Oryzias latipes: one gene and its partner. The protein of the gene in region 1 binds, or shares a complex with, the protein of each later gene. Links are inferred from orthologs where the notes say so. Each region holds a gene or a part of one and is shown on either strand. Other genes may lie near its edges.

Evidence for each region. Proteins that work in one complex are often made in the same cells at the same time.
Region 2: virma (region 1) and rbm15b share a complex: the UniProt entries of both Homo sapiens proteins name them as parts of the WMM complex. The link is inferred for Oryzias latipes from reciprocal best matches to the Homo sapiens genes VIRMA and RBM15B.

The regions. Positions count from the first base shown.
Region 1 is NC_019874.2:17,767,021-17,770,520, forward strand, and holds part of virma (protein virilizer homolog), read right to left. Parts: intron 2,810-3,500; coding exon 2,567-2,809; intron 2,034-2,566; coding exon 1,303-2,033; intron 957-1,302; coding exon 819-956; intron 732-818; coding exon 505-731; intron 416-504; coding exon 1-415. UniProt on the Homo sapiens protein: Associated component of the WMM complex, a complex that mediates N6-methyladenosine (m6A) methylation of RNAs, a modification that plays a role in the efficiency of mRNA splicing and RNA processing.
Region 2 is NC_019863.2:6,227,526-6,231,505, reverse strand, and holds the start of rbm15b (putative RNA-binding protein 15B), read right to left. Parts: upstream 2,801-3,980; 5' UTR 2,242-2,800; coding exon 1-2,241. UniProt on the Homo sapiens protein: RNA-binding protein that acts as a key regulator of N6-methyladenosine (m6A) methylation of RNAs, thereby regulating different processes, such as alternative splicing of mRNAs and X chromosome inactivation mediated by Xist RNA.

The DNA of each region.
Region 1 (3,500 bases):
CATCAGGTAAAGTGCGTGAAGCATGCCGAGAACTTCTGAATTGTCTCCTTCATCGAGTCCTGCGCCACCTTCTCCTCCAGCGGCCACGTGGCTCATAAGTTCTGACACACCTTGCAGAGAATGCAGCGCCTGCATCAGCCACATGCAAAACCCCTCCTCCCCAAACCCTGGCCCTGTGAGGGCCCCTTCCCCTCCTGTGCTGTCCTCTCCTTCTGATTCTGCCACAGATGCCAGGAGACGCAGCAGCAGGTTGGTTGGAGATGGCTGGGCAAGAAGGAAAAGTAGGCCTGACTGGGTGAGTGACAGGAAGCGTAGGAGCTCTTTAACGGCCTGAGTGACACCAACATGACCTGCTACAGCAGCCGCTGACAAAACCAATGTTGTGCTTTCCAGGAAATGACAGGCATGCATGTACCTGACAGGGAAGAAAAAAATGACTGTAATCAACTACTTCAAACAAGAGTCAGAAGCGTTGCAGTGCAGATTTTGTGGTCAGCTTTGTACCTATACAGTGTTGGGTATGGGTTATCCCTCTCTGGTGGTCCTGTTATTCTGGCAGAAGTTGGGAAAGCTTTCCCAGGCGGTTGAACCATGGAGTGAGAAGCAGATTCCAGCAGGTGATGAAGCTCCTCCAGAACGCCTGCTATCCTATCAAGCTCAGCCTCGCTCACAGGGGAGGAGCCCAGCGGAGTTTCCTCTTCCATAGGGCATTCAGCATCTTCCATGTCCTCCTGAAAGATATAACCCTGCACAATGACTACAAAAGAAGAGAGGGCACTAAATGTGCATAAACGAGTGGTGTGAATGAGTGCTGGCACCTGTTGAGTTTCACTCCAAGCTGCTGCTGACTGTTGCAGGTCGACGAGCACCTCGTACACGTGGCTTTTTTGCAACACGGCATTGCCAGCTGTTATGACCCGAACTGTTTCCTCACGCAAGAACAGCTGGACTAGACGCTGTGAAGCACATCAGAGCGACGACAGATTGTTAAAATTTCCTAATACACCTGGGAAGACTCTTGCAGAGTTATCCCATGACTTCTGAGTGGACTTTAAAGGCTCATCAGGGGACGTTTTGCTGTTCATTCGAGTAGCTTCTTCAGTTTTACAGCTGCCTGTCTGAGATCTTTAAAACAACGTTACTCTGAATTACTAATATATATTTGAGTATGTTTGAGTTTTCTAACTTTAGCAAAATCTTAAAATATCTGTTTGAAACTTAATTAATATACGACTGTGTAAATGAGAAACAAAAAAATGATGAGAAACAAAACTTAAAAGCTATCTGCAGTGTGTTGCTAACCTGATAGCCGCTCTTTTCTGAATCCCCTGCGTGCAGGAAGGCCTCCACCCCAGCAGGACAGCTGATGAGACCATCTAAAGTTCTCAGGATACTCAGCTTCAGTGTGGAGGACACGTGGTCTGCATGGAGCAGCTCCAGCAGCACTTTCAGGGTGCCTTCCCGCAGCAATATGGTGAGGCCGTGCGGACACCCTGCCAGGCAGGATACCAGCTTCGCACCTGCTTTTAACTGTCTGAGATTCAGGGCAATGGGTTGGGTGAGAGCAATCTCCAAATCTAAAGCTTGGAGAGCCCACTGGACTAAAGCTTTCAGAGGCTCCTCAGCATCTCCTTGTTCTTGTTTAATTAAATAAGCCAGCCCTTTGTTGAGTAGTCCAGGTGCTTCTTCCAGAGCAGTGACCCAGCGAGCATCTCTGTCCTCGCCAATATCGGCCAGTAGTTCTTTTAGATGAGCAACAGCCTCCGCCTCCTCTCCACCTGCTCCTCCTTCTGTTCCACCAGCATCTCTGGGTTCCTCTGTGCTGGCCTTCTCAAACTGGATCTCAAAATGAGTCTTGTATGGTGGAGTGAAGTAAGCAAGCGGCCTAAGTTCTCGCTCGTACGGATCATATTGGACAGGTGGCACAGAGGCTAGATCCTCAGGAGTGTAGTCCATGTCAAAGGTGGGCAGCTTGAAGCTTCCATTATCCAGGTCATCTTCATCACTGGAAATCTGCTCATAACCATCATCACCTGAAAGTACAGAGATTTCACAAATTTTATTCAATAGAAAGAAAGTTTGACCAAAAAAATGCTTAAAAACTTAATACATGAGTGAGGAAAAATTAGTTCACATGAGGAAGTAAAAGACAGCTCCCAAATCCCTGTAACTAACTATTGACCCACAAACCTTTTCTTTCATGGCAGTTTTAAGCCAAGCATGCGGAGTTAGTTAGGCATGCATGATATGACTTCAGCGCAGTCAGTCACAGCTGTGAGAAGGCGTTAGGACCCTCCATATGGTGGCACATAAAAGTTCATTGAAAGCCTTCAGAGTTTCACCGAGTGCAGCATCAAGCAGTTGCAGACAGATGCAGCATGTCTGTGCAAACACTCGTGCCGTTACTCAGTCCCAAATGGACCCTGTTCCTACAGCCTCCCCCCTCCCTCCTGTGGCATCAACATTGAAAAGTAGAGCAGACTTTGTGGCATCGAGGGGTTCAGCTTCGGGCTGAGTGTCCATTTGGGATTGTGGGCTATCCCACTCTCATGTAACAACACCCTACCTTCCTCCATCTCCTCTTCCTCGTCCTCACCCTCATCTTCTTCATCCTCCTCTTCCTCTTCTTCCTCTGGAGCGCTCCCCTCTGTCCGTGTGTCTTCTTCCTCTTCTTGCTCCTCCTCTTCTTCCTCGTCCTCCGCCTCTTCTTGTTCGGCGTCTGAGTAGGCCTCATCGGCAGGCCTCTCCGGTGACACGGCCTCCAAGTAGTCGCATCGGACCTCGCTCGGCTCACTTTTGACCCCGCTCACTGCAGAGAGTTCGCCTGACACGTCACAGCTGTACATTCCCACAAAGCAAAATCCACAGCAATATTCAACGACAGATCTGCTGCTGATGCTAATCCTCTCAAGACCTGGTGTCCACATGCAGGGACGTCACATTTTAGGTTAGATTACCACAGTATTTAATTCTGCTTAACCAGTTTAAATGACTACATCTGTAAAAGGTTAGCTCAAATATTAGCTTGGGTCTAAAGATGTTAAAAGATTAAAATACACATCTCAAGAGGTTTTTGTAAAGCTATAGGAATAGTGCAATTTAATACAATTAAAAAAACAAAAAAATCTGCACCATTCAACATTCTCCAATTTCATTGGAAAACTCCAGAGAGACTGGAAGTGTGATTTATAACAAATCACTGAGCTTTATCTTTATTTAGTTTAGGGAAAATTTGCTGTGTTGATTCTTTAGATACTGCAGGCGGCTGCACAGCTTAGTGAAAGGTTTTTCGAATTGTTTGTCTAACTGTTTTTAGACCATACCAGTGTTTCGGGTTTTACCGTTGGTCTAGTTAGCAAACAAGTTTTGCTAACAAACGTTGAGTCATGATGAAACTACAGCAGGATACACAAAGAATTACTCTTTCCTATAACTCAAATTGCGTTTTTTTTTTTTTAATGATGTTTCATTTTTAATACTCCTTCTCCTGTCATGGAAAA
Region 2 (3,980 bases), on another chromosome or scaffold:
GATGGCGCCCTGCAGAGCCAGCAGGATGGCAAAGCCGTCAGGGCGGCCGAGCTTGATGCGGCGCGACACCTCGTCCAGCCGGGTCTGGTCCATGCGCAGGCGCTGGGCAATTTTCAACTGGCTTGGCTGGTTCCGGTTCTGCAGATTCAGGCTGTCCTTCAAAACGCCGCTCAGGAAGGAGGCCCCTCCCTCCAGCATGTACAGCTCCGTGGGGAAGCTGCTGTTCTTCAAGGCAAAGAAGCCCTGCCACACCTTGGTGAGGGAGCCCTGGGCGTACTCCGACAGCGAGCTCAGGGTGGACGAGGTGTCCGTGTGGGCAGCGGGGGGGCTGGCGGCGGCCACGTCGCTGTTTCGATGGTGGTTGTTGACGCTCGCGGACCTCTTGCTGTGGTGACGGCTGGATGGGGGCTCTTCCTCTGTGGCATTTGCGTGTCGCCCCCCTCCACCACTGTCAGGGGAGTGGTCTCTTGGCTCAGTGGTGGAGTCCGGGGCTCGAACCCGTGCTCGGTCTGGGCTTGCATCAGGGGAGGCGGTGCCTCCCGGAACTCGAACCCTCGACCTTCCCTTTTCTTTCTCCTTTTCCTCCGACTGCTTGTCGACAGACAGACTTCTGCTTCTCCTGCGGCTCCTCCTCTCCTCCCTCTCCTTCAGCCAGCGTTCCCTGCTCCTGCTGCGGCTCCTCGCCCCTCGGCCAGCTCTTCCAAACGCCTCCACTCCTCCCACCCTCCTGTCCAGGCTTCGGGTGGGGCTGCTGGGAAACTCTCTCTCCAGCAGGACCCTCTCTCTCAAAGAGAGGAGGCTGTGGGAGGGCGGTGAGGAGCGCTCCCTGGTTCCTCTCAGCTCGCGCTCCAGGCTGCGATGGCGACTGTAGGCCTCTCCAAGGAGGTCATAATGCGTGGGGGGAGGCACAGGAAGCTGGTAACCAGGGGGAAATGGGCGGGAGGGGCTCTCCTCCACTTTAGCAAAGTCCACCCTGAGGCGGCGCTCTGGCCCGCCCAGAGGAAAGCCCCTCATCTGGGTACAGGCGGCCTGGGCTGCATCCAAACTTTCATACTGGATGTAAGCAAAGCTGTCGCCCTTCACATAGTCAATGTTCCTAATGCTTCCAAAGCGGTCAAATTCCCGCGCCAGAGCGGTCAGCGAGTTTCCTGGTCCCAGACCGCCCACCCACAGTCGGGTGGTGGGGTTGGCTTTGCCGTATCCGATTTTAATTGGGTTTCCACCAATAAGACGGCCCTGCATGGCCACTTTGGCCCTGTGGGCCATGTCAAGGTTCTGAAACTTTACAAAGGCATAAGCCCCGCCCTGGCCGCGTGCTGGCCGTTTGATGACCACGTCCTCAATGATGCCGTATTTATCAAACCCTCTCCTGAGTTCAGCCTCCGTCACATTCCCGTCCAGGTTTCCGATGAACAGGTTGCTGGTGGCCCTCTGGTCATCCTCGGGCTTCAGGTCCTCCACTACAGGCATGGGGGGGAACGCGTAGGGCCGCCCCCTCTCATCCAGCATACCATAATAGTCCAGCAGCCTTTCCCGGTCTCTGCTCAGACCCAGGCTCTCCAGCGCAAAGTGTCTGGCCCGGAGGTCCCGCATGCTGCTCACGCCGGTCCCGGGTGGGGACAAGGAGCGCTGTCTGTACGGATAGGGGGCGTGTAAAGGTAGATAGCTGACGTCCGGGGGGGTGACGCTCCGCCTCCTAACGTACATGGGCTCTATTTTGAGCTGTCTATCACCCAGAGCCAGCCGGGAGGACTTGGCGTGCCGGGCCTCCTTGGCGTCCTCCGGCTGTCTGAAATTGACGTAGGCGATGCGGCCGAGCTCCGGCGTGTGCGACAGCTTCACGCTCACGTCCCCGAACTTTTTGAATTCGTGGAACAGCGCGTCCTCGACGTCCTCGTCCGACACCTGCGAGCCCAGGTTGCTGATGAGCAGCGTTTTGTACTCCAGCGTGCCGGGTCTCGCGGCGGGGAGCTCCGCGGCCCGCAGCGGCGGCCGGCCCAGGAGGCTGAGCTCGTGTCGGTGGTGGAGCTCCAGCGCGGCCGCGCGCTCCTCCCGAAGGCGCGGCTTCTCCCGCTCCCTGCTGCGGCTCCGCCGGTGGTAGCTCCGGCTCTCCGCCAGCAGCAGAGCCAGCGGCGGCGGCGGCGGCAGCTCCTCTCTGCGGGCGCTCTCCCGTTCTCTCTCTCGAATCCGCTTGGCTAGGGCCCTGGATGGGCTGCCGTCTCTCACGGCCTGCCGCTTCATTTTCCAATAATGATGGAGAGTTTCAACTTTTTTTCCGAGCCTGCAGCGGAGATCCGGCGCTGCTGCGGATTCCGGGAGCGTTAGCTCGGAGACGGCGGCGGCGCAGGCTGCTTCGGTTAGGGGGCGCTTCCAGAGCGGGCTCCGAGTGGTCACACATTTACGGGGAAAAGAGGAGAAGCCTTTAAAAACATGTCAGCATCACAAGAGCTGCACCAGCGCCGCCATCTTGGACAATAGGAATGTGCGCGTTCCCAAAGGAGGGCGGAGCCTGTAGTGACGCAAGCACGTTGCACGTTTTGATTTGAAAACTCCTGCATACCAAATTGTCCTTGTTTATTAGGTTTATCCATTTTTCAAAGGAAATCAAAATAACACAGCAAGCAGATGATACTGCATTATTCTTAATAGACAGAAACCACATTGACCTTGATACAAGTATAATTAATTATTTTTCAAACGCTTCTGGATTACGTCAATAGAGATTACGTCTTAGTTTAGTTAAATGTCAAATATTATTAAAAAGTTAACCCTCGTGCTAACCTATGACCCCACCCTTGCATTGACGTGTTCTTCCTACCATGACAAAGGTGGATAAAGGTGGAAAGATTTCATGTAATCCATGGACACCAGTGAAGATCACAAATCATTGAAGAAAAAAGGTTCAGAGCACTGTCTAGTGGGTCTAGATGACCCAACTCCCAATGTTAAAGTGCCTAGGATAGCACAAAGGTTAAAATGGTTAAAGAAAAACATGGTATCCCTGTTAAAAATGTAGTTACATATTTAGGCACCAGTATAACAATGGACAGAAAATCTAGACAAACACAAAACTTCTCCTTGAGAATTAGAAAAAATGCAAGATGTCATGAATATGTGGCTTCAAATAGATCTATCTATTTTTGGCGGGATCCTCTTGGCTAAAGCGAAAGGTATCTCAAGAGAAATTTCTCCTAATCTATCCTTATCTTTACTTCTGTTCAACTTCCAAAGAAATAAACAACCTCTTAGTTAACTTTGTATGGAAAAATAGACGTCACTATCTTCAGAAAGAACTATTTTATGCCCCCTCATGCAAAGGAGGTTATGAACTCCTACATTTCTCAGATTTGAATTATACATTTAATGGTTACTGGATTCAAAAAGGCCTTTAAGACTCAAAATCAATTTGGTACTTTATCCCATTTAATATTTTATAATAAAATCGGGGGTCTTCAATTTCTTTTTAAATGTAAATATCAGAAAGACTCCTGTCAATCTTTAAAATTTGTATCTGCAAGTTTTGTCGTGCCTGGACGTTATGCTATGCACATTATTTCTCACCAAACAAAAGTATAACTTGGAACAATGATGATATAACCATCAAAAATTTGATCTTTTTGATGAGAATGGCAGCCATCGATTATGACAGGTTCTTCAATAAAATGTGTTTTCCAGTAACAAGCAAAGAATTCAAGAGTGTAATGAAAGCTCTTGTCTCAGGAGTAATTCAACTACTGACTTCTAACCTTAAATATCACGAGGAATCTGAAATACACCCTCCTTTAACACTTAATGGTATTGATATTTTCAATCAAAAAATTGCAACAACAAACACATAATACTTTTAGCGAAAAAAGAAGCATAACACCTAAAGGAGAAATTTATTGGAACCATATTTTAAATTATATCAATTGGAAAAAAAGCATGGTTACTGCCAGATACATTTTGAATAAACAATAAAGTTAAAGAAATACATAAAA